4 linked regions of the Anolis sagrei genome follow. The protein of the gene in region 1 interacts with the protein of each later gene in a pairwise test. Links are inferred from orthologs where the notes say so. Each region holds a gene or a part of one and is shown in the gene's direction. Other genes may lie near its edges.

Evidence for each region.
Region 2: the proteins of MORN4 (region 1) and HMMR interact in binary tests that used the Homo sapiens proteins (3 or more experiments, as listed by UniProt). The two-hybrid records come from large-scale screens. The link is inferred for Anolis sagrei from reciprocal best matches to the Homo sapiens genes MORN4 and HMMR.
Region 3: the proteins of MORN4 (region 1) and SEPTIN6 interact in binary tests that used the Homo sapiens proteins (3 or more experiments, as listed by UniProt). The two-hybrid records come from large-scale screens. The link is inferred for Anolis sagrei from reciprocal best matches to the Homo sapiens genes MORN4 and SEPTIN6.
Region 4: the proteins of MORN4 (region 1) and SSX2IP interact in binary tests that used the Homo sapiens proteins (3 or more experiments, as listed by UniProt). The two-hybrid records come from large-scale screens. The link is inferred for Anolis sagrei from reciprocal best matches to the Homo sapiens genes MORN4 and SSX2IP.

What each region holds. Positions count from the first base shown.
Region 1 is NC_090023.1:217,916,070-217,923,490, reverse strand, and holds the start of MORN4 (MORN repeat-containing protein 4), read left to right. Parts: upstream 1-4,358; 5' UTR 4,359-4,490; intron 4,491-7,421. UniProt on the Homo sapiens protein: Plays a role in promoting axonal degeneration following neuronal injury by toxic insult or trauma.
Region 2 is NC_090022.1:109,445,258-109,452,867, reverse strand, and holds the start of HMMR (hyaluronan mediated motility receptor), read left to right. Parts: upstream 1-4,167; 5' UTR 4,168-4,259; coding exon 4,260-4,305; intron 4,306-6,516; exon of another isoform or gene 6,517-6,531; coding exon of another isoform or gene 6,532-6,559; intron 6,560-7,610. UniProt on the Homo sapiens protein: Receptor for hyaluronic acid (HA). Involved in cell motility. When hyaluronan binds to HMMR, the phosphorylation of a number of proteins, including PTK2/FAK1 occurs.
Region 3 is NC_090030.1:3,163,522-3,171,337, reverse strand, and holds the start of SEPTIN6 (septin-6), read left to right. Parts: upstream 1-4,350; 5' UTR 4,351-4,692; coding exon 4,693-4,722; intron 4,723-7,816. UniProt on the Homo sapiens protein: Filament-forming cytoskeletal GTPase. Required for normal organization of the actin cytoskeleton. Involved in cytokinesis. May play a role in HCV RNA replication.
Region 4 is NC_090024.1:154,979,435-154,987,027, forward strand, and holds the start of SSX2IP (afadin- and alpha-actinin-binding protein), read left to right. Parts: upstream 1-4,180; 5' UTR 4,181-4,345; intron 4,346-7,593. UniProt on the Homo sapiens protein: Belongs to an adhesion system, which plays a role in the organization of homotypic, interneuronal and heterotypic cell-cell adherens junctions (AJs).

The sequences.
Region 1 (7,421 bases):
CTCCCATGCTGGACATTCCACAGATATATAAACTCCACTTCCATAGTTTCCAACAGACCTCTCAACCTCTGAGGATGCCTGCCATAGATGTGGGTGAAACGTCAGAAGGGAATGCTTCTTGAACATGGCCATACAGCCTGGAAAACTCACAGCAACCTATTCTACAACTCTGCTGCCTGCATTGCTTGTTGCTGCATTGTCTCTATTGAACAACCACACCGTCTTCCCGAAGATCCTGAGAGTTAACTCGTAACAAAAACATCAGTGCACACTATGACTCTTTAACACACCAAGTGTGGTAAGTACTTGAAGCCAAGTGCAAACCAATTTGCATCTCAGAGCTCATTAAAGCACTCTCCAAAGTGCTCTTTCTTTTCTTTGTTGGAAGCCAGTGGATTGCAGAACAAAAAGAGAGAATTGTGTTCTGCCCTCTACACACAGTTCCAAGGTCTTATTTCTGAGTATTCTCCAGCCAACCCACTCACTTTCATGAGAAATAAGCAAGCAAGAGAGGTCAAAATGCCTGGCAAAGAATCAGAAGGCCTTCCTGTTTGCTCTCTTCTTGACCTGCTGAACCCTGAGGTTATGAGCTGGAAGCATTTGAGCCACATCTTTTATTCTGACAGCCGCAGAGTCATTTGCTCAAAAGATCACACCCAACCATTCAGAAATTATGAGAAAGAATGGCTTTAGTCATGTCTACAGCCCAATTACTTCTGAGTAGAGTTAGGCTGGTGATGTGGATTTTTTGTGTGTGTGTCAGGAGACTTGAGAAACTGCAAGTCACTTTTGGTGTGAGAGAATTGACCGTCTGCAAGGATGTTGCGAAGGGGACGCCCAGATATTTTGATGATTTACCCTTTTTATGGAAGGCTTCTCTCAAGTCCTCACATGGGGAGCTGGAGCTGAGAGAGGGAGCTCATCCACACTCTCCCCAGATTCGAACCTACAACCTGTCGGTCTTCAGTCCTGCCAGCATAAGGGTTTAAAACATTGGGCCACCGGGGGCTCCTATGGGGAATTTTTCCAATGTAAATGCTTCACTCTTGAAGAGGTATTACTGGATGGATGGATGGATGGATGGATGGATGGATAGATGGATAGATAGATAGATAGATAGATAGATAGATAAAACTGGGATACTCTTTGAAGCATTATCTTGTACTGTCTTCTCCCAATCACCACCAACAATCTCCATGCCAGCCTTGATATCTGGCTAAAAGCTGTTTCCACCTGCAAAACTCTAGGATTTGTTTTCACATTTGACAGCACTGAGGAGTCTGGTTTTACAAAAACACCAACAATTAAGTAAAATATTTTTAAATGAAAAGTTAAGTCAAGTTTCTCAGTAGAAACAGGGCTAAGAAAAACATGCGAATTCCAACTAATTCTAGCCTTAAATGTACCAAGAATCCTTCAGTATTAAAACTGAGTCCTCTCTTTTAAAGCCCTCTCTTTCAAATCCTTTTAATGTTGGGGTGTTTTCACATTGTTATGCAGTCTTGTGATTTCAATATTTGCCTGCAGTAAATTGGTTTTAGAACAATTCAGAGATGAGATATATATTGTCCTTTTCTCCTTCTCCTTCATATTTCCTCCCCATGAGCAACGGAATGATCAAGATAAAAGGCAGGAGTTTGTAACGTTTTCCCTAGTGTTAAAAGAAAGACAGTATATGTATATCCTCCCTCCTAATAAGGAACTCAAGACACCCATCTATTAATTAGACCCCGAGGAATTTAACTTAAGTGAAGTGACAATATTATGTGCTATCAAACCATATTCTAGGTTTTAGCCATGTATAGAAATAGTCCTTGTCTGGCAAGGAGCCATCATGGTTTAAGAGTTGGACTATGACACTTGAGACTATTGGGTTGTTGTAGGTTTTTCGGGCTGTATGGCCATGTTCTCGAAGCATTCCCTCCTAACGTTTCACCTGCATCTGTGGCAAGCATCCCTCAGACATTGAGGATGCCTCACAACCTCTGAGGATGCTTGCCACAGATGCTTTTAGCCTTAGGGGACATTATGACAGCTACTAAGTACCATACATATAATTAATACAAAAATACATTTTTACCCAAAAAATATTTGCAGAAAGAGGGAAATGGAAAACATGCACAGAAAGTGCTACTGTTATAAGTGAATGATACAACATCAGTTGCTTTATTCCACATCTACATAGTATTAGATCTTCATGTTAAAGGTCTAGGCGAATTTGCTCCTTCTTCCATTACTGAACATTCCTTGAAATAAGCTATACATTTCCTCAAAGTTGGACTTCTTGTATTGCTAATGCTGGTTGATAAGAGACAGATGATGAAGTTTGATCTCTAGCTATGATATATACCTGGCCTCTGTAACAAGATGCTTCAGGTTTTCCAGTAGTAATAAGATCTCAGGCTTCTCTGATGCCAGCAACCCTAGTAAGTTTTCTTTGATGTATCTGACAGGTTGTGCCTAGCAGTTATATCATATCATGACTTATCATGGCAGCACCATTTACAGTGCAGATGTACCCACAATCCCTTTAAGTCAGTGGTTCCCAACCTGTGGTCCATGGACCACCAGTGGTCCACAAGGAGTAAAATATGGTCCACGGCCTCACCATTACTACTATGGACAATAACACAGCTCAACCATTTTGTATCTTCATTTTTAGGCCTATTGCTGGGGTTATTTGGGGTGCCGATTCAGAAAAGTGCAAATCTAGATTATTAAATATGGTTTTCCGTGGGTGAGCATATGGCGGCTACTGGATGGCATATGTTCTGTATCAGAAACTAGAGCTGATGTGGTCTATTCAATGCATTTTTCTGAATCAGCACCCCAAATAACTAAACCAAATTTAAAGTTGACCAAAAACTGACTTGTAACGCTTTTGGTACTAATGTCGGAGAGTGGTTTCTGGTCAAAGTGCTCCTTGTTCAAGTGGTCCCTGGTCAAAAAAAGGTTGGGAACCAGGAGTATAAGTCAAAGTGTGCAACAGCTGAAGAAAGAATGTAATTGTTTTAATTACGAGTGCCATTCTTTGTTACAATGGCTATAAAGACTGCCTAGCATTTTTGTTGTTTATTCAAAAACAACAAAAGTCGATTCCGACTCCTCATGACCACATGGACCAGCCCACGCCAGAGCTCCCTGTCAGCTGTCACCACCCCCAGCTCCTTCAAGGTCAGTCCAGTCACTTCAAGGATACCATCCATCCATCTTGCCCTTGGTCGGCCCCTCTTCCTTTTTCCTTCCATATTCCCCAGCATCATTGTCTTCTTTAAGCTTTCCTGTCTTCTCATGATGTGGCCAAAGTACTTCATCTTGGCCTCTACTATCCTTCCCTCCAATGAGCAGTCAGGCTTTATTTCTTGAAGCTTCTTGCGGTCCGAGGCACTCTCTGAACTTTCCTCCAACACCACAGTTCAAAAGCCCTTTGGGGGAAGAAGGGTGGGGTAGAAATGCATGAAATAAATAAATAAAGCATCTATCTTCCTTCACTCAGCCTTCCCTATGGTCCAGCTCTCACATCTGTAGGTTACTATGGGGAATACCTTTGCTTTAACTATGTGGATCTTCATTGCCAGTGTGATGTCTCTACTCTTCACTATTTTATAGATTGGTCATCACTCTCCTCCGAAGAAGTAAGCGTCTCCTGATTTCCTGGCTGCAGTCTGCATCTGCAGTAATCTTTGCACCTAGAAATACAAAGTCTGTCACTGCCTTCATGTTTTCTCCTTCTATTTGCCAGTTATCAATCAGTTTGGCTGCCAAAATCTTGATTTTCTTTTGTTTAACTGCAACCCAGCTTTTGCACTTTCTTCTTTCACCTTGATTAGAAGGCTCCTCAGCTCCTCCTTGCTTTCGGCTATCAAAGTGGTATCATCTGCATATCTAAGGTTGTTAATGTTTCTTCCAGCAATTTTAACTCCAGCTTTGCATTCATCAAGCCCTGCACATCGCATGATGTGGCTTGCATTATGAAACATTTCAAAAACAGCTCTTTTCTTTCATGTTGCCAAGATATAGTCTGGGTTTTTTGTTTGTTTTTTTGTTTTGTTTTGTTTTGTTTTTTTGTTGTTTTTTGGTTGGTTTTTTTTAGCCTCTTCCAAGGGCTTCAACTGACACTTGTCCTCCAAGGGGGGGAAAGATAGTAAGGCCTCAATATGTTAAGGAAGGAGAGTAGGAAATAGTCTTCTTGCCCTTTAAAAATATGGCTGCCTTGTAGAGCGTTCTCCCTTGCCCTTAACAAAGAAGGCCGCTGAGAGGGGGGGCGTCGGCGAGTGGGAAGGCCGGGCAATGGCGAGCCGCGTTACTACGGGTTGCCGTGGCAACAGCCAACAGCGTGAGGGGATGGTTCCTGGTGGGCGGGGCGTGTGTGTGGGAGAGAAGCCGGGCAGGGCTGAGGCAGCTGGAGGGAGGGAAAAAGGCGGTGGCCGATGGGGGCAGAGCCGAGGGGTGTGAGGCTGGTGTCCGCCGCGGAGACGCTCCGAGCCCAGGTGAGAGGCGCGGGCGGGGTCGCAGGAGAGGCCTTGTAGTGTCGGCGAGAGGCCTAGGCCTGGGATGCCGGGCTTGCCAGGGCGGAGAGGAGACGGTGGGCGAGTGGGTGGACCACGGAGGGGAATGGCAGCAGCAGGCGCCAGTCTGGTGGGCCTGGCGAGGGTCACGCCACAGCAATGGCCCCTCGCTCACCTCACGCTTGATGGCAATGCCTCTGCAGGGAGAAAGGCAGGGATTTTCAGGTGGGTGGAGTGTCCACAGGCGCAGCAGCTGAGGAGGATGCTCTGCCTCGTCGCCACCATCGTGGAGCGAGGCAAATCAATTCAGTCTGCTATCCTTTGCCTGACAGTGCTTGTCCATCAGATAGAGAGCATCACTTTGGCAAGAAAGGTTGGGCCAGTCTTTTTTTTCTTTGTGCTATTCCTTCTGCATCTAGGCTATATCATTGTCTTGTGGGGTTCCACAGGGTTCAGTATTGTCTTCCATATTGTTTAACATCTACATGAAGCCGCTGGGGAAGATCATCCGGACTTTTGGGGTGCAATGTCACCTGTACACAGATGATGTCCAACTCTGTCACTCCTTCCCACCTGCTACTAAGGAGGCTGTTCAAGTCCTGAACCAATGCTTGGCTGCTGTGAAGATCTGGATGAAGGCAAACAAATTGAAACTGAATCCAGACAAGACAGAGGTCCTCCTGCTTAGTCATAAGGATGAACAGGGTATAGGGTTACAGCCTGTGTTGGATGGGGTTACACTCCCCCGAAGATGCAGGTTCGCAGCTTGGGTGTGATCCTGGACTCATCGCTGAGCCTGGAACCCCAGGTTTCAGTGGCGACCAGGGGAGCATTTGCTCAATTAAAACTTGTGCACCAGCTGCGCCCGTACCTTGGGAAGCCTGACTTGGCCACAGTAGTTCACGTTCTGGTTACATCCCGTAAAGACTACAGCAACACACTCTTTGTGGAGACTGTCCGGAAGCTTCAAAGGGTCCAACTAACAGCAGCCAGATTGCTAACAGGAGCAGCGCTCAGGGAGCGTACAACTCCTCTGTTACGCCAGCTCCACTGGCTGCCAGTTTGCTACCGGGCACAATTCAAAGTGCGGGCTTTAGCCTATAAAGCCCTAAACTGTTCTAGGCCAACTTACCTGTCTGAACATATCTCCCCTTGTGAACCATCTAGGACCTTAAGATCGTCTGAGGAGGCACTGCCTTCGTTACCGCCTTCGTCACAAATATGTTTGGCAGAGACGAGAGACAGGGCCTTCTCGGTGGTGGCCCCTCAGCTGAGGAACGCCCTCCCTATAGATATTAGATTGGCCACCTTCCTTTTAACATTCCGGAAAACAGTCAAGACGTGGCTTTTTGAACAAGCGTTTGCAAATGCAGAGAAACTGACACAGAAAAATGGAACAACTAAACCAGGGGTCCTCAAACTTTTTAAACAGAAGGCCAGGTCACAGTCCCTCAAACTGTTGGAGGGCCGGATTATAATTTGAAATTAAAATTGGAAAAAAAAACATGAGTGAATTCCTATGCACACTGCACATATCTTATTTGTAGTGCAAAAAACACTTAAAAATAATACTATAATTAAGATGAAAAACAATTTTAACAAATATAAGCTTATTAGTATTTCAGTGGGAAGTGTGGGCCTGCTTTTGGCTGATGAGATAGGATTGTTGTTGTTGTTGTGTTCTTTCAAGTCGTTTCAGACTTAGATTGACCCTGAGCGAGGGCCGGGTGAATAACCTTGGAGGGCCACATCCAGCCCTCGGGCCTTAGTTTGAGGACCCCTGGACTAGACAATTAGTCTGGACAATGTTTTTAACAAGGAGACACTATGAATTTATATTTTATTGATTTGTTTAGTTTTTATTATATGTTATGTTTTTAATTGTATTATAACATTGTAAGCATTGGATTTTGCGCTGTTAACTGCCTTGAGTCGCCTGTGTGCTGAGAAAGGCTGTATACAAATACAGTAAAATAAATACATATTTGGAGTGAAACAAATGGAAGGAAACCCTATTTTGATAGCTACACTAGACTCTCAGTTCACCAGCACCCATGGGGATTGGTAGGTGCTGGATCAATGTTATTTCTAGAGCAGGCCGGGCCAACTTGGGCCCTCCAGGTGTTTTGGACTTCAACTCCCACAAGTTGAAGTCCAGCCTGGAGGGCCCAAGTTGGCCCATGCCTGCCATAGCCTTGGTTTCCAACTTGGAGGAGGGGGGCAATTTGAGAATGAGTTATTCACAGTGAGTATTTTGCATTTCTTAAAGTTCTAGTGGCCTCATATACAGTATATAAATATATATTGTGACATACACATTTTAAAAATTAAAGTCAGAATGTACACGTATTTTGCATTTCTTATGGTTCTAGGGGCCTCATATATACAGAGGCGGCCCTAGGAAATTTTCTTCAGTAAGCAAATAGTAATTTGGTGCGCCCCCCCCCCCCCCCAACCAATCACTGATATATAGTTTCTGTTTGTCTTGGGAGTTCTGTGTGCCATATTTGGCTCAATTCCATCATTGGTGGAGTTCAGAATGCTCTTTGATTGTGGTGAACTATACATCCCAGTAACTACAACTCGCATATGTCAAGGTCTATTTTCCCCCAAGAGCGCCTCAAGAGCGCCCCAAGAGCGCCCCTGGGCAAAATCAACTATACTGCAAATGCTTACTTTGCGTAATGGGTTGAGCCGCCCCTGCATATACAGTATATAAACATGGCTTCAAACTACAAGAAAGGAGATTCTATCTGAACATTAGGAAGAACTTCCTGACTGTGAGAGCCGTTCAGCAGTGGAACTCTCTGCCCCGGAGTGTGGTGGAGGCTCCTTCTTTGGAAGCTTTCAAATAGAGGCTGGATGGCCATCTGTTAGGGGTGCTTTGAATGCAATTTTCCTGCTTCTTGGCAG
Region 2 (7,610 bases), on another chromosome or scaffold:
ATTATTGCATTTTTATGGTGTGCCTTGAAATCATTTCCAACTTATGGCAACCCTATAAGGGGAGTTCCTTATCAAAATTTAGCCAAATGGGTTTTCCCGTTGCCTTATCTTAGTCCTGCAGTGTAAAACTAATGTTTGACCCACCACTTTTAACTGCCATGGCTCAATACTATAGCCATATGGGAGCTGTAGTTTTAATAATGATAATAATAATAATAATAATTTTATTTCTTACCGCCCTCTCTACAAAATACACTACAAAATACACACACTAAATGTACCTCCATAAAAGCTACACACCAAAACTTATCTGTACAAAATACATATTAAAATACACAAAGCAGATCAAATAGGACACTTAAAAGTCATGCTTAAAGACTGTCTGTGTAGGCCTGCCTGAAGAGATAGGTCTACATGGTTTTTAAATTCTGACAGCCGATCTAGCTGTCAGAGCTCTAGCTGCAGGTTGTCCATAGTCTTTGGTGCGGCTGATGAAAAAGTTCTCTGAGTGGTGGTTGCCAGTCGGGTCCTGGCAGGCTGAAGCAGATGCCCCCCAGAAGACTAAAGTGTGTGGGGTGGGTTGCATGTGAGAAGGCAATCCTTTAATAACCTGGACCAAAACCATGTAGGGCTTTAAAGGTCAAAACCAAACACTTTGCACTTCGCCTTGGGGTGGCTGATAAAAGGTCCTCTGGGTGTTGGTTGCCAGTTGGGTTCTGGTTGGTTTTACAAGGTCTTTAGCCTTCTCTGGCACGGAGTGCCTTGCAAAATTCCAAATCCGGGGACTCCATGTGGTTGAGCCATGGTAGTTAGAGTGACACTTTAGTGGTGTCACACTACATTTAATCCTGTACTGTAGATCCACCCCCAAAACAGAGGTGTCAGTCATGAACCCATTGAATGAATATTTATTTATTTATTTATTTACAGTATTTATAGCCCGTCTTTCTCAGCCATATGGCAACTTAAGGCGGGTTACAGAATGGCACAATTCGCTGTCACATTCACATTAAGTAGAAACAACTGGTTCTTCTCTTGAAGTATAAAACAAAGTCTTTGTGTGAGTAAATGTCCTGTTTTTTATTACATATGAGTAGACTCCAGAAGTCACATGAATCGACTCCAACCTGCGACCGGTATTGACTCACAAGAGCCTTCGTCAGGCGGTTGGGTCTACAAACAACACATATCATGAATACACACATACAATTGAACAATTTGTTATATCAAGTTTGTAAGAATATATACAGACACTCCACTTACTCAAATTATCACAAAAAGCTCAGCTTTTGAGGTGAGAAATTCACCAACAGTCTTCTGGAGGGGTGGATCCTAAGGAGACATAGACAGTGGCTAATAGGGCTGGGCGGTTTCGTTTTGTAATTTCGTAATTCGTTAAAAATTCGTTTTTTTATAACGAAGCGATTTTGAACCATTCAGGAGCATCTAAAAAACGAAACGAATTTTTCAATTCGTTTCGTAATTGCTTCGTATTCGTTTCGTATTCGTTTCGAAATCTTTTCGAAATTGTTTCGTTATTATTTCCACATGTCTGGGGCAAGTTTTATAGCTGTTGTTTGTTTAATCAGTGGAAAAAAATTATAAATATCACACCAACAGTCAACAACAGAGGGAGAGGAAAGCTTCAAAAGTTCCCCCTGTCCCATATGGAGGTTTTTTAGCGTATTGCGCAGTCGCGTCCGCCATTAACGAATCGATTCGTATTCGTTTCAAAATCGTTTCGTAATTATTTCGTAATTTACGAAATTTCATAAATATAAAAAAAAAATTAAGGAAAATTTCGGAATTAATTTAAAAATCGAAACGCAAAAACCCCCTAAAAACGAATCGAGTTTAGAAACAAATTTTTCCGTGGTTGCCCAGCCCTAGTGGCTAAAGGTAATATTACATTGTAACGTGAATTATAAACTATACAGTGGAGCTGACACAACAGAGGAGTAGTGTGTTCCCTGGGCACCGCTCCTGTTAGTAACTTGGCTGCCAGTCTTTGGCCATTTGAAGCTTCCGAACAGTGTGTGTGTGTGTGTCTTGAGGAGTGTCAAAGCAAACTCGACCTGCTTAGACATACATTTTAACACAAGCCCTCATTTGAAAATATATATATCTATATAAATAAAAATGTAATGTTAGTTTGTGGGATTGACATAATGCAAAAACCACCGGATGAATTGACACCAAATTTGGACACAATACGCCTATCATTCCAATTAGTGACCATCACTCATAAAAATACTGAAAAACACAGCGGAAGGGACTTAAAAAGCCAAAAAAGCAAATAGACACTACAGTGAATATGCAAAAATGACTCCCCTGGCAAACAAAACAATAGCATATCCACACTCTATTTTGGACAACTGCTCCGAGCTTCCAGCATCTCCTAGACCAGGCCCTTTAGGAGAGGAGGATGATCCAAATGCACTGCTTTCAAGATGCAAGCTTTCTTCTCCTTGGATCTCTTTGAGAGTATCCCAATCCCTACATATTTCCAATTTCCTATGAAACTCCCGGCAATCCTCCAGATAGATAGATTAGATAACATAGATCAATCGATCAAGAGGACTGCTGGGAGTTGCAGTCCAAGAATAGGTAGAGAAGGAAGAAAGGGAGAAGGGAAGAGGAAGAGAAGGAAGGAAGGAGAGAGAAAAAGAAAAAAAGGGAAGGAAGGAGAGAAAGAGAAAGGAGAGAAAGAGGGAGGGAAGATTGTTCACAACAACGCGTGGCAAGTACAGCTAGTATATTTATATAAATAAAAATGTAATGTTCGTTTGTGGGATTAACATAATGCAAAAAACACTGGACAAAGTGCTGCGAAATTTAGCCACAAGACACCTACTCACCCAAGGAGTGACCATCACTTAAAAAATTGATTTTGTCAATTTATAGTTAACCTACAATCCAGGCCCATAGCCAGGATTTCGTTTGGGGGGGGGGGCTGATTTTTTTCAGGGGGGGTTGGGGGGGGCTGAGTTTCAGGGGGGGGGGGTGTGATTCTGAGTGAAAGAGGGTCTAGCCTAGCAAACCTTTTGTATCATTACCCCAATACTTCCATGCATATGGGATATATTGAGTATGGTGATCAGATCATGATATGAATAAACATAACAGTTTAAATAATGCAGCAGTAAGGCCTTTTCGTGAACCACCATGAGAATTTCAGGCTGAAGCCCCTCAAGCCCCCCCCCCCCCCCTTCTACATGCCTGCTACAATCAAAGAGCTTTCTAAACTTCACCAACGATAGCATTGAACTAAACGCGGCACACTCCCATGACCAACAGAAAACATTGGAAGGGTTTGGTGGCATGGACCTTGAGTTTCGGAGTTGCAGTTCACCTATATCCAGAGAGCACTGTGGACTCAAACAATGATGAATCTAGACCAAACTTGGCACGAATACTCAAGATGCCCAAATGTGAACACTGACGGAGTTTGGGGAAAATAACATTGACATTTGGGAGCTGTAGTTGCTGGGATTTATAGTTCACCCACAATCAAAGAGCATTCTGAACCCACAGATTTGGGGCAAACATTCCACACAGAACCCCCATGACCAACAGAAAATACTTAAGGCCATGCAGTCCAACTCCCTTCACCAGGGAAAGAAAACATAATCAAAGCCCTCCTGACAAAGAGCCATACAGCCATAGATATAGAGAGATAGATTGATAGATATGGTTCACACACACAGAGACTGTATAGATTTGAAAGGGACCCCTAAAGAAGGACAATTTGCATATTCCAGAGTAGGCAAACCAGACAATCTCCACATCAACACTGACAAAGAAACAGCAAGAAATATTGTTTACCCACAAGCAGAAAGAAAATACATATTTTAGAAACCAACACTTTCTCATTACTTTATTTTCCATATCAACAGACTGGGCCACAGCAACGCGTGGCAAGGGTTAAATGAGGGTTCTTGTTAAAATTAATTTCTAAGCAGGTGGAGGTTGATTGGACACCCCTCAAGGCGGCACCCTACTCCCTCCCTCTTCTAGGCAAAAACAACACACGGCACGCCCCGAAACCTCACGCCAAGCTGGAGAAGAGGGTACCGCCTCACTTCCGCAGTTCCCTATTGCGCATGCTCCAGGGCTAACCTCTGATTTGCGGAGCGTGCCGCCGCTTGAGCTTTCGGATTGGTTGGTTGGGCCCACTTAAGAGAAGGAGGCGGCAGTGTGGCTTTTTGAAATCCGTTCTCTCTGCTCCGCGGGCCCCACCTGGCTGGCCTGGCCCCGGCATGTCCTTCCCCAGGGCCCCGCTCCGCCGCTTCAACGAGGCTCCCGGTAAGCCAGCGGGGCTTCTGTTCCCTCGCCTTCAGAAGGGGAAACGCTGGGCAAGACGTTGCTGCCGGGTGCGTCTACGCTGCAAAATTAAGTCAGTTTAACATCACTTGAACGCTATGGAAAGGCACCAGCACTCTTTGGCAGAGAAGCGTGAAGGCCTTGTGCAACCATAACTCCCAGGGTTCCGTAGCATTGAGCCCATGGCCGTTCAAGTGGTGTCAAACTGCATTAATGCTACAGTGTAGCAGACCCACCTGCGGTCTCTGTAGGTTTGTGTCCCGCCCAAGCCATATAACACTGCCTGAAATAGTGGCCTCGCTTGAGGGGTGAGTCTTACCCTGCTTTCCTCCTAATACAGAAATAGATACAGATATTATTATTATTCTACATTTATACCCCGCCCATCTCACCTCAGTAGGGGACTCAGGGCGGCTTACAATCCATGGCATACAATGCCACATTACACATATAATAATAAACAAAACATATCAGTTTAAACAATTAACATATCAATTCAAGCATACAATAATAAACATGGTATAATAATTTATTTATTTATTTATTTATTTTATTTGCTTTATAATGTAAATATAAATACAATAAAAAGCTTAGAAGTAATTCAAATAGAAATACGATAAAAAAGCTTAAAAGTAAACATACAATAATTTAAATATAAATACCAAAAAAGCTTAAAAGTAAAAGTAATATGCCGGGTGTTTCAAAGCAAGTATATTTCACCCTCTTACAATTACACAACAAAGTTACAAACGGTTTAATGAATTATTATTTACTAACTCCACTGCTGTTGTTGGATGATTCAGCTGTATGCCATTTTGAGAATAGCTGACCTTGCCATCTTGCAAATGACAGGCTTGGGGCAGTCAGTGCGCTGGGAAAAGCATCAAGCCGTCATTATTTGAAACTCTGTGCCCAGCCCTTTGAAGGGGTAAGGTAATATGTTTGTGACACTATTTTCCCTTGCCACTGTAAATAATAGATTTTGGTCTTGAAAGTAAATCCCAGTGTTGTGTCCAACTCTGGGGGTTGGTGCTCATCTCCATTTCTAAGCCGAAAAGGCAGCATTGTCCCTCCAAGGTCAGCATGACTGCCTGGAGCACTGTTACCATTTTCCAAAATACCACCATGCCTAAAAAAGGCAATAGTGAGACCTATGTTGAAGAAGTCCCTAGAATCCATGGTTTTGAATAACTACTGGCTAATTTCTAATCTTAACAAACACAAATCTTCTACAAGTCGTAGTACATAAATCACAAAGGAAAATGTTTTTTTCCAGCTTATATAATACAATATTAAATGTATAACCAACTTATATGATGCAGCATTGAGCAATATACCATGAACAAAAAACTTGTTTATAATATAATAATAATAATAATAATAATAATACTATTTGTACCCCGCTACCATCTCCCCAAGGGACTCAGTGTGGCTTACATGAGGCAAAGCCCACAGCACATCAATAAACAAAGGCAATAACAAATAATCAATACAAAACAGTTAAAATAAAACTCAAAAACAAAAAATACACAATAAACAATAACAATAACATACAGCATTTAAAAACCTATGGCCGGGTCAAATGTAATAATTAAAATTTAAAATGCTGGGCATTAACAAGGTAGGGTAAACTAGGATAGGGTTTTCAAAGAAAGTTGAGGGCGCGCAGACAATCCTAAATCAATATTAAAGTGCATTTGAGGACATATTGCTTAGAGTTTTCCTTATTCTGGAAGGCACACTGGAACAACCATGTTTTCAGGCTCCTCCTAAACACAGCCAGCGCTGGGGCATGTCTAATGTCCTTAAAGAGTGAATTCCAGAGTCGAACGACCACCACCGAGAAGGCCCTCTCCCTCGTCCCTACCAATCATGCCTGCGAAGGAGGTGGGAGTGTGAGCAGGGCCTCTCCAGATGATCGAAGAGATCGTGTGGGTTCGTACACAGTGATTTTACATCAGTAACAAGAGTAGAGTCTTTCTTGCTGTAAAGCAGACTTCTCTTAAGGGCATAAGATCCCTTACTTTAGAGAAAGATACTCTTGAGTGGAGTTTCCAGTCCCTTGTAAGAGGATATCCATGTAGAAGATTTCCAGACCGGTTTCGACTAACGTCTTCCTCAGGTGGAGAAATGTGAAGAGTACAATGAAGTGGACATCAAGTTCTCAAAAATAATAATTCTTCCTCGGGTGGATAAGAATACAATGAAATGGTGGATCTAAAGATAATATACACAGGTGGCTAGAACATGTCCCAAAAGGGATAAATATTTCCAAATGTTGTTAACATGTAACGCGTATATACCATAATTTCTAATCTTCCCTTCCTGGGCAAAGTTCTAGAGTGAGTGACGGCTTCTCGGCTCCAGGAATTCTTGGGTGATACTGATTATCTTGATTCATCGCAGTCCGGTTTTAGGCCTGGCTATGGTACGGAGACGGCTTTGGCCGCCTTGGTGGATGACCTCCACAGAGAGCTAGCCAGGAGGAGTGTGCTCTTGATGATTCTCCTGGACATCTCAGTGGCTTTTGATACCATTTACCATGTTATCCTTCTAGGGCAACTCTCCGGAAAGGGTCTTGGGGGGCATTACTTTGCAGTGGCTCCGTACCTTCTTGGAGGATTGCATCCAGTTGGTGAAGCTGGGGGACACCTGCTCAGACAACTGGCCATTGACTTGTGGGGTCCCACAAGGTTATATTCTATCTCCCATGCTTTTAAATATCTACATGAAACCACTGGGTGAGGTCATCCAGAGGTTTGGTGTTCAATGCCATCTGTACGCAGAGGACACTCAATTCTACTACTCCTTTCCACCAAATTCCAAGGAAGGCACCTGGATCCTGAAACAGTGCCTGGCAGCTGTGATGGACTGGAAGAGGGTTAACAAGTTGAAGCTTAATCCAGAGAAGACTAAGGTCCTCCTGTCATGAGGCCCATCACGGTATTGGGTGGTTACCTGTTCTTGAAGGGGGTAACACTCCCTGAGGACACAGGTCGGCAGTTTGTACATTTAAATAAAATGTTCAGATCTAATTTGCCAAATAGTCACTGTTGTATGTTTTTATGTTGAATGTTTTTATATTGTGTAAATGCTATTTTAAATTGTAAGTCGCTCGGAGAAAGCGACTAATTAAGAAGTGAAGTTTGGGAATCCTCCTGGATTCAGTGCTGATGGTTGATTTTCAGGTGTCGGCAGTGGCCGGGAGGTCCTTTGCACAGTTAAAGCTTGTGCGCCAGCTGCAACCGTACCATGAGAAGTTGGACTTAGCCACAGTGGTCCATGCC
Region 3 (7,816 bases), on another chromosome or scaffold:
GATTTATATATCTGTGGAATGGCTGGGGTGGGGCAAGGAGCTCTTCCCTGCTACCGTATACCATGCAGCTGTGGACAAGTCTACATAGGGACCACCAAACGCAGCATTGCCCAGACACGCATCAAGGAACATGAAAGGCACTGCAGACTCCTTCAACCAGAGAAGTCAGCCATAGCAGAGCACCTGATGAACCAGCCTGGACACAGCATGTTATTTGAGAACACAGAAATGCTGGACCACACCAACAACCACCATGTCAGACTACACAGAGAAGCCATTGAAATCCACAAGAAGCAGGTGGACAATCTCAACAGAAAGGAAGAGACCATGAAAATGAACAAAATCTGGCTACCAGTATTAAAAAAACTCTAAAATTATAACAGCAAAACAACAGAGAGGAAAAAAACCAGGCACAGATTAACACCTCCCAGTAACAGATTTTCCCAGGCTCAGGCAGGCCTTCAAATGCTAATGAAGGTGATCAGCTAAACATTCACGCCTAACTGCAGCAGGGAAGAGCTCTTTGCCCCACCCCAGCCATTCCACAGATATATAAACCCATTTTTCCTACTTCCAACAGACCTCACAACCTCTGAGGATGCTTGCCATAGATGCAGGCAAAACGTCAGGAGAAATGCCTCTAGAACATGGCTCTATAGCCCGAAAAAACCCACAAGAACCTAATAATGCCACTTTCTCTCTCTTAAGTTTGCAAAGGGATGCTGGCACAAGTGGTCAGCATTGGAGCCACATGGCGTGCAGAGCCTCTGCGGTCCTGCCAACTTCTTACAAACTGCTATCATAAAGTGATACTTTGCAGAAGTTTTTCAACAGAGTTGGTACACATTGTACTTCTTGCACTTTCAGGGTCGCGTGGCTTTGTCGTTTCGCAGCCATTTTCTCTGGCTTATGCTTGCAAAGGCAGCCCTCCGCGAAAGCGCATGACCATAGCCTGTTATTGTTGTTGTTGTTGTTTTGTTCATTCGTTCAGTCGTCTCCGACTCTTCGTGACCTCATGGACCAGCCCACGCTAGAGCTCCCTGTCGGCCGTTACCACCCCCAGCTCCTTCAAGGATCTAGGGAAGTAATGCTACCCCTCTATTCTGTTTTGGTTAGACCACATCTGGAATACTGTGTCCAGTTCTGGGCACCACAATTCAAGAGAGATATTGACAAGCTGGAATGTGTCCAGAGGAGAGCGACTAAAATGATAAAAGGTCTGGAGAACAAGCCCTATGAGGAGCGGCTTAAGGAGCTGGGCATGTTTAGCCTGAAGAAGAGAAGGCTGAGAGGAGACATGATAGCCATGTATAAATATGTGAGAGGAAGCCACAGGGAGGAGGAGGGAGCAAGCTTGTTTTCTGCTGCCCTGGAGACTAGGACGCAAGGGAACAATGGCTTCAAACTACAAGAGAGGAGATTCCACCGGAACACGAGGAAGAACTTCCTGACTGTGAGAGCCGTTCAGCAGTGGAACTCTCTGCCCCGGAGTGTGGTGGAGGCTCCTTCTTTGGAGGCTTTTAAGCAGAGGCTGGATGGCCATCTGTCAGGGGTGATTTGAATGCAATATTCCTGCTTCTTGGCAGAATGGGGTTGGAATGGATGGCCCATGAGGTCCCTTCCAACTCTTTGATTCTATGATTCTATGATTCTAAGGTCAGTCCAGTCACTTCAAGGATGCCATCCATCCATCTTACCCTTGGTCGGCCCCTCTTCCTTTTGCCTTCCACTTTCCCCAGCATCATTCCCTTCTCCAGGCTTGGCTGTCTGCTCACGATGTGGCCAAAGGACTTCCACTTTGTCTCTCGTCTCCTTCCCTCCAATGAGCAGTCGGGCTTTCTTTCCTGAAGGATGGACTGGTTGGATCTTCTCGCAGTCCAAGGCACTCTCAGCACTTTCCTCCAACACCACAGTTCAAAAGCATCTCTCTTCCTTAGCTCAGCCTTCCCTAAGGTCCAGCTCCCACATCCGTAGGTGACTTACTACAGGGAAGACCATGGCTTTGACTAGGCAATGGATCTTGGTTGCCAGTCTGATGTCTCTACTCTTGACTATTTTATCGAGACTGGACATTGCTCTCCTCCCAAGAAGGAAGCGTCTTCTGATTTCCTGGCTACAGTCTGCATTTGCAGTCATCTTTGCACCTAGAAATACAAAGTCTGTCACGGCCTCCACGGTTTCTCCCTCTATTTTCCAGTTGTCAATCATTCCTCCAACACCACAGCTCAAAAGCATCGATCTTCCTTTGCTCAGCCTTCCCTCAGGTCCAGCTCTCACATCCGACCATAGCCTACGTTCCAGAAATCACATCCCTTTATCATATATGATTATTATTATCTTTATTTGTACCCCGCTAGCATCTCCTGAAGGACTTGGTGCGGCTTACACAGGCCAAGGCCTCAATAAAAACATAGCATAACAAAATACACAACTTAAAACAAATCAAAGCCATTAAAGCAATATCAAACAACAAAACAATAAAACAACACACCAAAACACAAGAAAACAGGGCCGGGCCAATGTAATGGGTACAGGATTAAAAGTGCTGATGTGACAGGTGGTATATTGGATTTTAGGGTAAGTGCAGTGTGCGGGCAATCTTAAACTCTACTAAAGTGCTTCTGGGACGTGTTACTGGAGTTTTCCTATTCTTGAAAGGCACATCAGAACAGCCAGGTCTTCAAGTTCTTCCTAAAGACTGCCAAGGTAGGGGCCTGTCTGATATCTTTAGTTCCAGAGTCGTGAGGCTACCACAGAAAAGGCCCTGTCTCGCATCCCCAGGGGCGGCTCATCCATTACGCAAAGTAAGCGGTCGCAGTACACTTTTTTTTGCCAGGGGCGCAGAGGCACCTCTGTAAATGCCCCTCGACCGCCACTTGAGGAGCGCCCCCTCGGCTCACAACAGCCCTAGCAGTCCGGGGGAAGCCTCAGCAACCTATTACACAAAGTAAGCATTTGCAGCATAGTCGATTGTGCTCAGGGGCACTCTTGAGGCGCTCTGGGGGAAAATAGACCTTGACATATGTGAGTTGTAGTTACTGGGATGTATAGTTCACCTACAATCAAAGAGCATTCTGAACTCCACCAGGTTCAAATCCGGGGAGAGCACAGATGAGCTCCCTCTATCAGCTCCAGCTCCTCGTGCGGGGACATGAGAGAAGCCTCCCACAAGGATGGTAAAAACATCAAAACATCCAGGCGTCCCCTGGACAACGTCCATGCAGACGGCCAATTCTCTCACAACAGAAGTGACTTGCAGTTACCCATGTCGCTCCTGACCCAACAAAAAAATATATATATCTGGGCCGAAAAGTATATATATTTTTAAGTGTAACTTCGTCCAAACATAATATAATATAATCCCATATATATATATATATATATATATATTCAAATGTAACTTCATCCAAATATTATATATGTGCGTGTGCGTGTGTGTGATTATATTATATTATGTTTGGATGAAGTTACACCTTAATAAATGTAACATCATCCAAATATATATATATATATATATATGGGATTATATTATGTTTGGATGAAGTTACAGCTATATATATATATATATTTATGGGGCCCAGATATATATATATATATATATATATATATATATATATATATATTCAAATGTTACTTCATCCAAATATTACACACACACACACACATATATGGGATTATATTATGTTTGGACAAAGTTACACTTATACACACACACACACAAACACACACACACATACATATACATACTTATGGGTCCCAAATATATATATATATATATATATATATATATTCAAATATATAATATATAATAAATATATAATAAATATAATGTAATGTTATATATATAATGGAATGGAATGTCATATATATATAATATACATATAATGGAATGGAATGTCATATGATATAATATATAATATAATATCATATAAAGTATAAATATAATGCAATGCACTGGAATGTAATATAATATGTAATATATAAAATAATGTCATTCAATGCACTCCAATGCAATATAATATATGCAATATATATTTCTACATATAATGCAGTGCAACAGAACCTATAATTCAATGCACTCCAATGCAATATAATATATGCAATATATATTTCTACATATAATGCAGTGCAACAGAACCTATAATTCAATGCACTCCAATGCAATATAATATATGCAATATATATTTCTACATATAATGCAATGCAATAGAAGCTAGCAGCATCTCTCTGGCTGCCTTCCTTTCTCTCTTTCTCTGCTGCCTTTGAAGCTTGGAGAGGGGAGGGAGCCTTGGAAGCGCCCGCCTTCGCAAAGGCAACGGGAGGAGCCCAGAGGAAGCGAGGGAGGGGAGGGGAGGGGCTGCTTCTCTCTCTCTCTCTCTTTCTTTCTCTCCTTCCCTCTTTCCCTGCCTTGTGTGCCGGGTCCCCTCCCTCCCTCCTTCCACGCCTGGTTTCCTCTCTCATTCTCTCTCTCTCTCTCTCTCTCTCTCTCTCTCAATTGGGTTCTCTGCAAGGCGCGCTCTCCTCTTTCTCCTCCTTCCTTCTCTCTCTCTCTTTTTCCTTCCTTCCTTCCTTCTTTCCCTCTTTCCCCCGTTGCCGCAGTGGCCCGGCCCTGCTTTCCTCGCCTCCGGAGCCTGGCTGGGCGAGGAGGAAGAGGAAGGAGGGGAAGAGGAAGAGGAAGGGGAGGAAGGGGCCATGGCGGCCACCGAGATCGCCCGGCAAGTGGTGAGTGCAAGGGGAAGGAAGGAGGGAAGGATGGGAAAGAGGGAAGGATGGATGCCCATTGTGTGCCCCCCACCCCACCCCGCTTGCCCGCCCCTCCAAAGGAAAGGATGCTGCTACTGCAGGAAGGGAGGAAAAGGAGGAGGAAGTCCCATTTGGGGGTTTGCAAAAGGATTGTGGGGAGGGATTGTGGAGAAGAAGGGCTTTGGGAAGGGATGGGCAAGGGAGGGAGGGAGGAGAGAAAGAAGGAGGAAGGGGAGAGAGGAAGGACAAGGAGAAGGGAAGGAAAAAAGAGGAGGAAGGAAGAGGAAAAAGAAAGGAAGAGGATAAAGGAAGACAAAAGGGAGGGAGGAAAGGTGGGAGGAAGAGGATAAGAGAAGGAAAAAAGGAGGGAGGGAGGCAGAAGAGGAGGAAGGAAGGAAGGAAGGAAGGAAGGAGAGAAACAAGAAGGAAGAGGAGAAAGGAAGAACAAGGAGAAAGGAAGGAAAAAAGAAGAAAGGAAGAGGAAATAGGAAGGAAAGAAGGGAGAGAGGGAGGAGAGAAAGAAAGAGGAAGGGAAGAAAAGAAGGGAGATAGGAAGGAAGGGAGGGAGGAGAGAAAGAAGGAGGGAGAAGGGAAGGGAAAAGAAGGAGGAAGGAAGAGGAAAAAGGAAGAAAAAAGGGAGGGAGGGAGGGAGGGAGGAAAGATGGGAGGAGGAGGATAAGAGAAGGAAGGAAAAGCGGAGGAAGGAAGGGGAGAAAGGAATTAAAAGGAGGGAGGGAGGAGGAAGAGATAGAAAGGAAGAAGAAAGGAAGGGATGAAGGAAGGATGTGAGAGAGAGAAAAGGAAGGGGGACAAAGAGGAAGGAAGGAAAAAAGGAGGGAGGGAGGCAGAAGAGGAGGAAGGAATGAAGGAAGGAGAGAAACAAGAAGGAAGAGGAGAAAGGAAGGAACAGGAAATAGGAAGGAAAGATGGGAGGAAGAGGAAAAGGGAGGGAGGGAGGAAGAGGGAAAAGGGAGGGAGGAAGGAAAGATGAGGGACAGAGGAGGGTGAAGATAGGAAGAAAAGCAGAGAGGGAGGAGGAAGGCATAGAAAGGAAGAAAAGAAGGAAGGGAGGAAGAGGAGAAATGAAGAAAGGAAGAAAAAAGGAGGAAGTGGAGGGAGGAATGAAGGAAGAGAAGAAAAAGAAGAGAGGAAGGAGATAAAAAGGAAGTAAGGAAGGGGAGGAAGGAAGGAAGAAAAGAAGGGAGAGAGGAAGCATGTGAGAAAAAAGAAGGGATGAAGAGGAAGGAAAGAATGAGAGAGGATGAAGGGAAGGAGGAAGCGGAGGAAGGAAGAAAAGGAGGGAGAGAGGAGTAATGGAAGGTGATAAAGAGGAAAGAAGGAAGGAAGGAGGAGGGGAGAAAGGAAGGAAGAATGGGAGAAAAAAGGAAGGAAGGAAGGAGAGAAAGAAGGAGGAATGTGAGGGAGGAAGGAGAGAAAGAAGGAGGAATGTGAGGAAGGAAGGAAGGAAGGAAAGAAAGAAATAAGGAGGAATGTGAGGAAGGAAGGAAGGAGAGAAAGAAGGAGGAATGTGAGGAAGGAAGGAAGGAAGGAATGAGAGAAAGAAGGAGGAATGTGAGGAAGGAAGAAAGGAGAGAAAGAAGGAGGAATGTGAGGAAGGAAGGAAGGAAGGAAGGAAGGAAGGAGAGAAAGAAGGAGGAATGTGAGGAAGGAAGGAAGGAAGGAAGAGAAAGAAGGAGGAAGGAAGGAAGGAGAGAAAGAAGGAGGAATGTGAGGAAGGAAGGAAGGAGAGAAAGAAGGAGGAATGTGAGGGAGGAAGGAGAGAAAGAAGGAGGAATGTGAGGAAGGAAGGAAGGAAAGAAAGAAATAAGGAGGAATGTGAGGAAGGAAGAAAGGAGAGAAAGAAGGAGGAATGTGAGGAAGGAAGGAAGGAGAGAAAGAAGGAGGAATGTGAGGAAGGAAGGAAGGAAGGAAGGAAGGAAGAGAAAGAAGGAGGAAGGAAGGAAGGAGAGAAAGAAGGAGGAATGTGAGGAAGGAAGGAAGGAGAGAAAGAAGGAGGAATGTGAGGGAAGAAGGAGAGAAAGAAGGAGGAATGTGAGGAAGGAAGGAAAGAAAGAAATAAGGAGGAATGTGAGGAAGGAAGGAAGGAGAGAAAGAAGGAGGAATGTGAGGAAGGAAGGAAGGAAGGAATGAGAGAAAGAAGGAGGAATGTGAGGAAGGAAGAAAGGAGAGAAAGAAGGAGGAATGTGAGGAAGGAAGGAAGGAGAGAAAGAAGGAGGAATGTGAGGAAGGAAGGAAGGAAGGAAGGAAGGAAGAAAAAGAAGGAGGAAGGAAGGAGAGAAAGAAGGAGGAATGTGAGGAAGGAAGGAAGGAGAGAAAGAAGGAGGAATGTGAGGAAGGAAGGAAGGAAGGAAGGAAGGAAGGAAGGAAGGAAGGAAGGAAGGAAGGGGTGCTTTTCAGGGGAGAGTCTTCCAAAGTCCAGGCCTGAGGTTGGAGGTGGGGCTTCTCACTGAAAACAAGGTTGATGAGGACAGCAAGCCCTCCATGGGTCCATCAAGCCACCAGGTGTCATATTGCAGACTGGGATGAACTGGGGCCAACCCAGAGGGTGAACTGGGGCCAACCAGGCCATGGCAAGCACCCCCTTGGTGTATTTGGGGCTCCATTGGTGTGGATTGAGGCCTGTTGTGTGCAAGGTGGTTGACCGCTCGTTTATTGGCATCTTCCTTTCAACGTAACCGTGGCACTTTCGGCACAACAATCGTGGATCAGTGCGCAGGGACTGTGCCCCCCCTCCCCATGAGCCCTATGAGGCCCATGCGCACCTGCGCTTTGTCAGGCATGGGTTTCCTGCTACGATGAGAGCAAGCGGCGCTCCGTACAGACAAGAGAAGGAGATTTCTCTTTGTGTTCCAAAGGACAGGCATTGGATACGATTGCAGGAACGCTGGGATCGGACATTAAAACGGGGCATGTGCAATGGAAAATAGGCAGGTCGTCCCCAAGTTACGAACATAATCATGTCCATGGATTGTATATAAGTTGGATTTGTATATAAGTTGGAACAGGGACATTTTGGAAGTGTGACTGTCTATCTATCTATCTATCTATCTAT
Region 4 (7,593 bases), on another chromosome or scaffold:
AGCATCTCTTATCCGAAATGCTTGGGATTAGAGGTGTTTTGATTTGGGGGAACAGGATTTGAAATAACAATATTTACATATATTGTGCATAATAAGATATCTTGAAGATGAGGCCAGGTCTAAACACGCAATTCATTTATGTTTCACATACATCTTATAGACATAGCCTGAAGGTAATTTATACTCAACATGATGTTGGGCTTGAATAAAGTTGTGTACATTGAACCATCAGAAAGCTAAGGTTTCACTATCTCATCCACTCATGTGGAAAGCTTTGGATTTCAGAATATTTGAGCATTCCAGATAAAGGATGCTTAATCTCTAAAATCAGGGTAGAAACCTCTAAAATCTTATTTCAGAGCGAGAGTTATGTTCAACTATTGTACAAAAACACACCTGGGGCTGGACACCTGAGTTCAGATTTAGGGTGGTGGCGATTTGCCTTCAAATGGCCTATGACTTATGGTAACCCTATGAATGGGAGACCTCCAATATCCCCAGTGAGCAACAGCCCTGCTCAGATCTTGCAACCTCAGGCTCCATCTACACTGCTGTATGATGCAGTTTGAAACGGCATTTTAGATGGGGCCTGTTGACCATGGCTTCTTAAAATGAAGCAATTCACTTGCAGGCCTGTTTATATATTTTGCAGAATCAGTATCCCCAGTCAGCAACTGCCCAGCTCAGATCTTGCAATCTCAGTTTGAAACTGCAATTTAGATGGGGCCTTTTGACCATGGCTTCTTAAAATGAAGCAATTCACTTACAGGTCTGTTTATATATTTTGCAGAATCAATACATTTGATTTTGTTTCTCTAGTCATAACAGTGTTACAGCATAAGTGGCTTTGAAATCCAAAACTGAGTATGTTCAGAGAATGTTTATGTATCTATTGAGCCTGTAATTATTTATCTGAGAGTTGGCAAACAGTTTTATTCTTTGCTTTGATATATTTCTGTATCTAGCAATTGAGGTAATTAATGTACTTGTCCAAATCAAGGCGAGAGATGTGTGGGTGTGCATGTGTGTGTGTAAGACTATTAAGTGCAGAGCTTAAAATAGTGCATCTCGCACGATTTCCCTTGCACTGCAGCAAGAATGTCTATTTCTCTGTTTTAGAGAGAATCCCACCATTGGCAAAAACTCCAGTGGTTTCTTTAAAAGCTTTTGGTAAGGATAAGAGGGGAGAGCTGCCTTATTATAAAGAAGATATAATTTATTGTTTGACTTATTTTTTATTATTATTGATTGCTTGTAAAATGGAGTCAGACAGCCAGAAACCTAAGATTTAGAATGTTTGCTGATAAAGATTAGTAAGACAAATACAGTAGATTCTCTCAAGCAATTGGCAAAAAAATTGAAAAATTTTTTCAAAATTAAAATACATATATAATACAGTAAAACCGTGTTACATTATGTTTTACTTTCAATATTAATATCAAGTCAATACAAAATGTATAGTATGAGCTCCTGGTGGTGCAGCGGGTTAAATTACTGAGCTGCTGAACTTGCTGACTGAAAGGTTGGTGGTTCAAATCTGCAGAGCGGGGTGAACTCCACCTGTTAGCCCCAGCTTCTGCCAACCTAGCAGTTTGAAAACATGCAAATGTGGGTACATCAATGGGTACCGCTTCTGCGGGAAGGTAACAGCATTCCAAGTGGTCATGCCGGCCACATGACCTTGAAGGTGTCTATAGACAATGTCAGCTCTTCAGCTTAGAAATGGAGATGAGCACCACGCCTTAGAGTCAGACACAACTAGATTTACTGCCAAGGGGAAACATTTACCTTTACCTTTATGAGTTTGGCTTGTTTTGAATAGTAACTCGAGAGACCAAAAACTACATTTATCTGGTATCTACCTGGTTAACTGAGAATCTTGACCCATGTTAAACAAAGTTGTGGGTTGCTCTGAATTCTGCCTAGGATCCGGAGTGAGAGCTTTAACTTGACACCTCTGAACTTACATCTTGCTAGGCCTGCCTAGTTAAGAAAACACAGCAGAGATTCCCAACCCCAAAGAGCCCTTTGCTTTGAGATTGGCCAGTTCCTTAGGCTGGTCAACACAGGGTGCTGTTTGTGCTTATTGAAGCAACAGGAAACTGAGCAAAGTCCATGTCTTTTGACCAAGAGAAAGAAGTTTTGATTTCTAACTGGACAGACAGGTCATGTGCTGATGCTAACTGCTAGATATAAGGTGGACTATAAAATAATTGTTCTACAAGACCCCACTGTCCTTCTTTTACAAGATAGCTAGGCACCCACATGCCGCAGCAGCGCAGTGAGTTAAACTGCTAGCTGCAGGAAATCTGCTGACTGGAAGGTTGGCAGCAAAGCCTTAACAAAGCCTTAAGTTGGGGTGAGCTCCCGACTGCAGCCCTAGCTTCTGCCAACCTAGCAGTACAAAAGCATGCAATGTGAATAGATCAATAGGTACCGCCTTGGTGGGACGGTAAAAAGGCATCCCATGCAGATATGCAGACATCTTCTCCAAACTTTCCTGTCTTCTCATTATGTGGCCAAAGTATTTCATCTTTGCCTGTAATATCCTTCTTTCCAGTGAGCAGCCAGGCATTATTTCCTTGAGTATGGTCTGGTTTGATCATCCAGCGGTCCAAGGCAGTCTCAGAATTTTCCTCCAAGATTCCATTTTTCTTACTGGCTGTTAGGAATTGAGGGAGTTGAAGTCCAAAATACCCGGGAGGCCGAAGTTTGCCCATGCCTGTTTTATACAGTGCTTTCTAACTTTTACTCCAAGATATTCTGGACTTCAACCCCCAGAAGCCCCAGTCAGTCTGGCTGATAGTAGGAAACTCTGAGAGCTGAAGTCCTAACTACAGGGAGGAGCAAAACTGAAAAATAATATGAAATGTTTTAAGGTACCACCAGATTTGGTATATCCTCCTCCCCTGGGTGCATCCACATTGTACAATCAATGCAGTTTGAAATCTCTGTAACTCAGGCATGGGTAAAATTTGACCCCCCAGGTATTTTCTGTGTTGTAATGTAAAATAAAATAATATAAAGGAGTCCCGTTGGCGCAGTGGTTTAAAGCACTGAGCTGCTGAACTTGTTGACTGAAAGGTCGCAGGTTCGAATCTGGGGAGCGGCGTGAGCTCCCACTGTCAGCCCCAGCTTCTGCCACAATAGCCGTTTGAAAACATGCAAATGTGAGTAGATCAATAGGTACCGCTCCGGCGGAAGGTAAGGGCGCTCTATGCAGTCATGCTGGCCACATGACCTTGGAGGTGGCTACGGACAACGCCAGCTCTTTGGCTTAGAAATGGAGATGAACAACAAACCCCAGAGTCGGACACGACTGGACTTAATGTCAGGGGAAAGCCTTTACCTTTACCTTTACTAATGTAAAATAAATCACGTGTAGTTCACGTTTGATCAACCCACCCATTGCCTTGCCAGAGTTAGAAAATATGCCACGCAGGTGACCAATAAAGAACAAGTAGTTTACTCTTCTTAGTTCAGAACGACATATGTACAATGTGATCAGTTGTACTAACTCGCATAATTTCCTTTTATGGGAGGTTTAAAATAGTATTTCTATGTCCATTTGGATAAGCTCCTTTAGCAGCTCATGAAGTACACTCCAAACTTTCTGCTTCTCTTCAAGCCTGAACAAAAATGCAACAGTAACCAAAAGTCCCAGGCTCAGCCATCTCCCAGGGCATTGCCTGGCCACACACATTCATGCATCTTATTTTATTTGATGCACATACACACTCTCACTGATTCTTTGCATGCTCCTAACAGGCTGTTAGGAATGGTGGGAGCTGAACTCCAAAACACCTGGAGGGCCAAAGTTTGCCCATGCCTGCTGTAACTGCTATCGTTCAGTGCTATGGAACCATGGGAGATGTAATTTCACAAGGTCTGGACTAGCCCTCTCTGCCAAACTGCAACTCCCACGGTCTTATCCCATTGAGCCCTGGCAGTTAATGGGGTGTCAAACGGTATTAATGCTGCAGGAGAGGAGGGGGGGGGGGAAGAGTATGGCTGCAACAGGTGAAGAAGGAGGGGAGAGCCGGCCAAGCAGCTGGCGCGTCTGCCAGGCCCTTTGTTGAAAGGTCTCCTAGCAACGCTGCGGCCAATGGGGGCGCGGAGTCTCGGGGCGCGGAGGGGGGATTGGAAGGCGGGCGCTGCTGGGATCGGCGGTGCCGCGGGGCGCGCGCGTGCGTGAGTGTGCGCGCGCGTAGGAGGGAGGGAAGCAGGCAAGCAGAGAGGCAGCGGAGCTTTGGGCAGCAGAGGTTGGGGCGCCCCTCCTTTCCTCCCGCAGCAGGTGGGAGGCTGGGTGCCCTGTCCCCTCCCCCACCCGGCTTCCCAGGAGCAGGTCTGGACTTGATCTTGGCTATTCTGGGGCAAAAAGGGGAAAAGGGGAGGAGGAAGCACGTGGGAAATGGGAGGCATTGGCATGCGAGTCAGTGGGTGGTTGGGAGGGGGGCAAAGGAGGAGGAGGTGGACACTTCTGTAGAAGAGGGGGCATTGCATGGGGGTGAGATACCAGACAGTCAGGTGCGTTCTCACGTACACAGTCTGGGTCAGGAGTGTGCTGGTGTGTCTACACTGTAGAATGAATGCACTTTAGCTGTCAATGGCTTCATGCTATGGAAGCCTGGGAGGTGCACTTTGGTGAGGCACCTGCACTCTTTGGGCCCTTCCACACAGCCCTATATCCCAGAATATCAAAGCAAAAAATTCCACATTATCTGCTTTAAACTGGGTTATCTGAGTCCACATTCAGATAATGTGGGATTTCCAGCCTTGATATTCTGGGATATAGGACTGTGTGGAAGGGCCCTGCGTGCACACTCAGATAATGTGGGATTTCTGCTTTGATATTCTGGGATATAGGGCTGAGTGGAGGGCCCCTTAGGCGGGGAAATTTCACTACCTTGTAATTCCCCCCTCAGTCCCAAGGAGGACCCTGCATTGTAGAATCCATGCAGTTTGACAAAAGCAGCACTTCACACAAAACATAATGCATGGTTATGAAAGCTGAATATTTAGGAAGCGGTAAACAAAGAGGTGCATCTACACCAGGCACAGGCAGACTTTGGCCCTCCAGGTGTTTTGGACTTCAACTCCCACAATTCCTAACAGCCTACCTGGAGGGCCAAAGTCTGCCCATGTCTGATCTACACTGTAGAATTAATGCAGTTCGACACTACTGTGATTGCTCAACAGTGTGGAATCCTGGGAGTTGTAGTTAAGTGAGACACCAGCACTCCCATGATTCCATAGAAGTGAGCCATGGCAGTTCAATAGGGTGTCAAACTACACCCTATTGAACTGCCATGGATCACTTCTATGGAATCACGGGAGATGTAGTTCCACAAGATCCCTCTCCTTCTCTACCAAAATGTGTCGGTGTCTCACCCAACTACAACTCGCAGGATTCTATGCTGTTGAGCAATCAAAGTGGTGTCAAACAGCATTCATTCTACAGTGAAGATCAGACTTGGGCAAACTTCGGCCTTCCAGCTACTTCATCACACTAGAGAATGAATCCACTTTAAATCTATTTTCTGCCTCCTGTAGAATTCTGGGGTTTGTAGTTTAGGGAGGAGCCTTTAACAGCCTCACTAAACTACAAACCCCAAAATTCTGCAGCAGGCAGAAACCGGATTTAAAATGGATTCATTCTCTAGTGTGATGAAGTAGCCAGGTGAAGTAGCCACAAGTTGAGAACCACTGTGGTAGGCTGTTAGGAATTGTGGGTGTTGAAGTCCAAACACCTGGAGGGCCGAAGTTTGTCTATGCCTGGTGTAGATGCACCTCTGTGTTTGCTGACAGTGTGAGAGATCTTCCAAGGTGCATCTACATGCTATAGAATGAATGCAGCTTGACACCACTTTTATTGCTCAACAGTATGAGATCCTGCGAGTTGTAATTTGGCAAGGCAACAGCACTCTTTGGCAGAGAAGGCCAAAGACTTTGCAAAGCGCTGACTCCTGTGACTCTATTGCACAGAGCCCTGGCAGTTCAAGTGGTGTCAAACTGGATTGATGCTCCAGTGTCGATGCACCCCAAGTCACCTGGCTCAAGTCTTGCAAAACTTCTTGATCTTCCTTGTGCTGCATCTGCACACTGTAGAACGCACGCAGTGTGACACCACTTGAACTTCCATGTCTCAGTGCTATAGAATACTGGGAATTGGAGTTTGATACAAAGCACTTTTCAGCAGTGAAAGGCCTTGTAAACTACAATTCCCAGGTTTTGATAGTATTGAGCCATTGTAGTTGAAGTGGTGTCAAACTTCATTAAATGTAGAGTGCAGATATACCCTTGGTTTCCCAAAATCTTCATCTTTATCATCTTTTTGTTAATTGCTGTCAAGTCTGACTTACAGCAAACTTAAACCTATGCATTGTTTTGTTAACTGCCGTCACATAGACATATGAATGAGTGACCTCTAGGTTTTGCAAATTGCAGACTCCCTTGACGTTTCTTGCTTCCCCTGATTTTCAACTTTTGTAACAATCCATATGTTTATATTGAGGGGCAGAATGTGAAAGAGCTTCTCAAAAGGGAGGTTATAAATGCTAGAGAGGGTGGCAGGCATGGGAAGGATTGCAGGCCATTGATTGGGAGGTGAAAAAGGCATTCTAAAAACAGAGCTGTCTGCAAGCGTTAGGAACCTGCTGGTTGGTGGAGTGTGAAAAGGCACCGGGCGGACAGCAGTCTAGGCAATGTGCGGAAATAAAGCCCTGTGTTGCTTGCACATTTTACTTGCAGTCTGTTGCATTTATGAGTGTATATATAGTCAGCCCTCTATATCCATGGATTTTGTATCCACAGATTCAACTGTCCATGCCTTGTAAATATTCAGAAAATAATCCAGAAAGCAAAACTTTGATTTTGTGATTTAATTTAGAGCAGTGGTTCTTCACCTGTGGTCCGTGGACCACCAGTGGTCCACAAGAATTAAAATATGGTCCGCGGCTTTACTGTTACTACACCGTTGCAACAAGAGCGACTGGTCTTGCAAAACCCTCATATAGTGCTGAGCATTAACAAAATCCATGGATAATAACACAGCCCAACCAAAAACAATTTTTTTCTTCTTGTTTTCGTTTTTAGGTCAGTTCCTGGAGTTATTGGGGTGTTGATTCAGAAAATTGCATTGAATAGACCACATCCATTCTAGATTATTAAATACGGTTTTCTGTGGGTGAGCAGATGGTGAGTACTGGATGACATATGTTCTGCATCAAAAACTAGAGCTGATGTGGTCTATCCAGTGCAATTTTCTGAATCAGCACCCCCAATAACCAAACCAAATCTAAAGTTGAAGAAAAACTGATTCGTAACCCTTTTGGTACTAATGTTGGAGAGTGGTCCCTGGTCAAGTGGTCGCTGCTCAAGCGGTCCCTGGTCAAAAAAAGAAGGCTGGGGAGCACTGATTTACAGGATACAATTTTATTATGTTGTCGAAGGCTTTCATGGCCGGAATCACTGGGTTGCTGTGAGTTTTCTGGGCTGTATGGCCATGTTCCAGAAGCATTCTTTCCTGAAGTTTTGCCTACATCTGTGGCAGGCATCCTCAGAGGTTGTGAGGTCTGTTGGAAACTAGGCAAG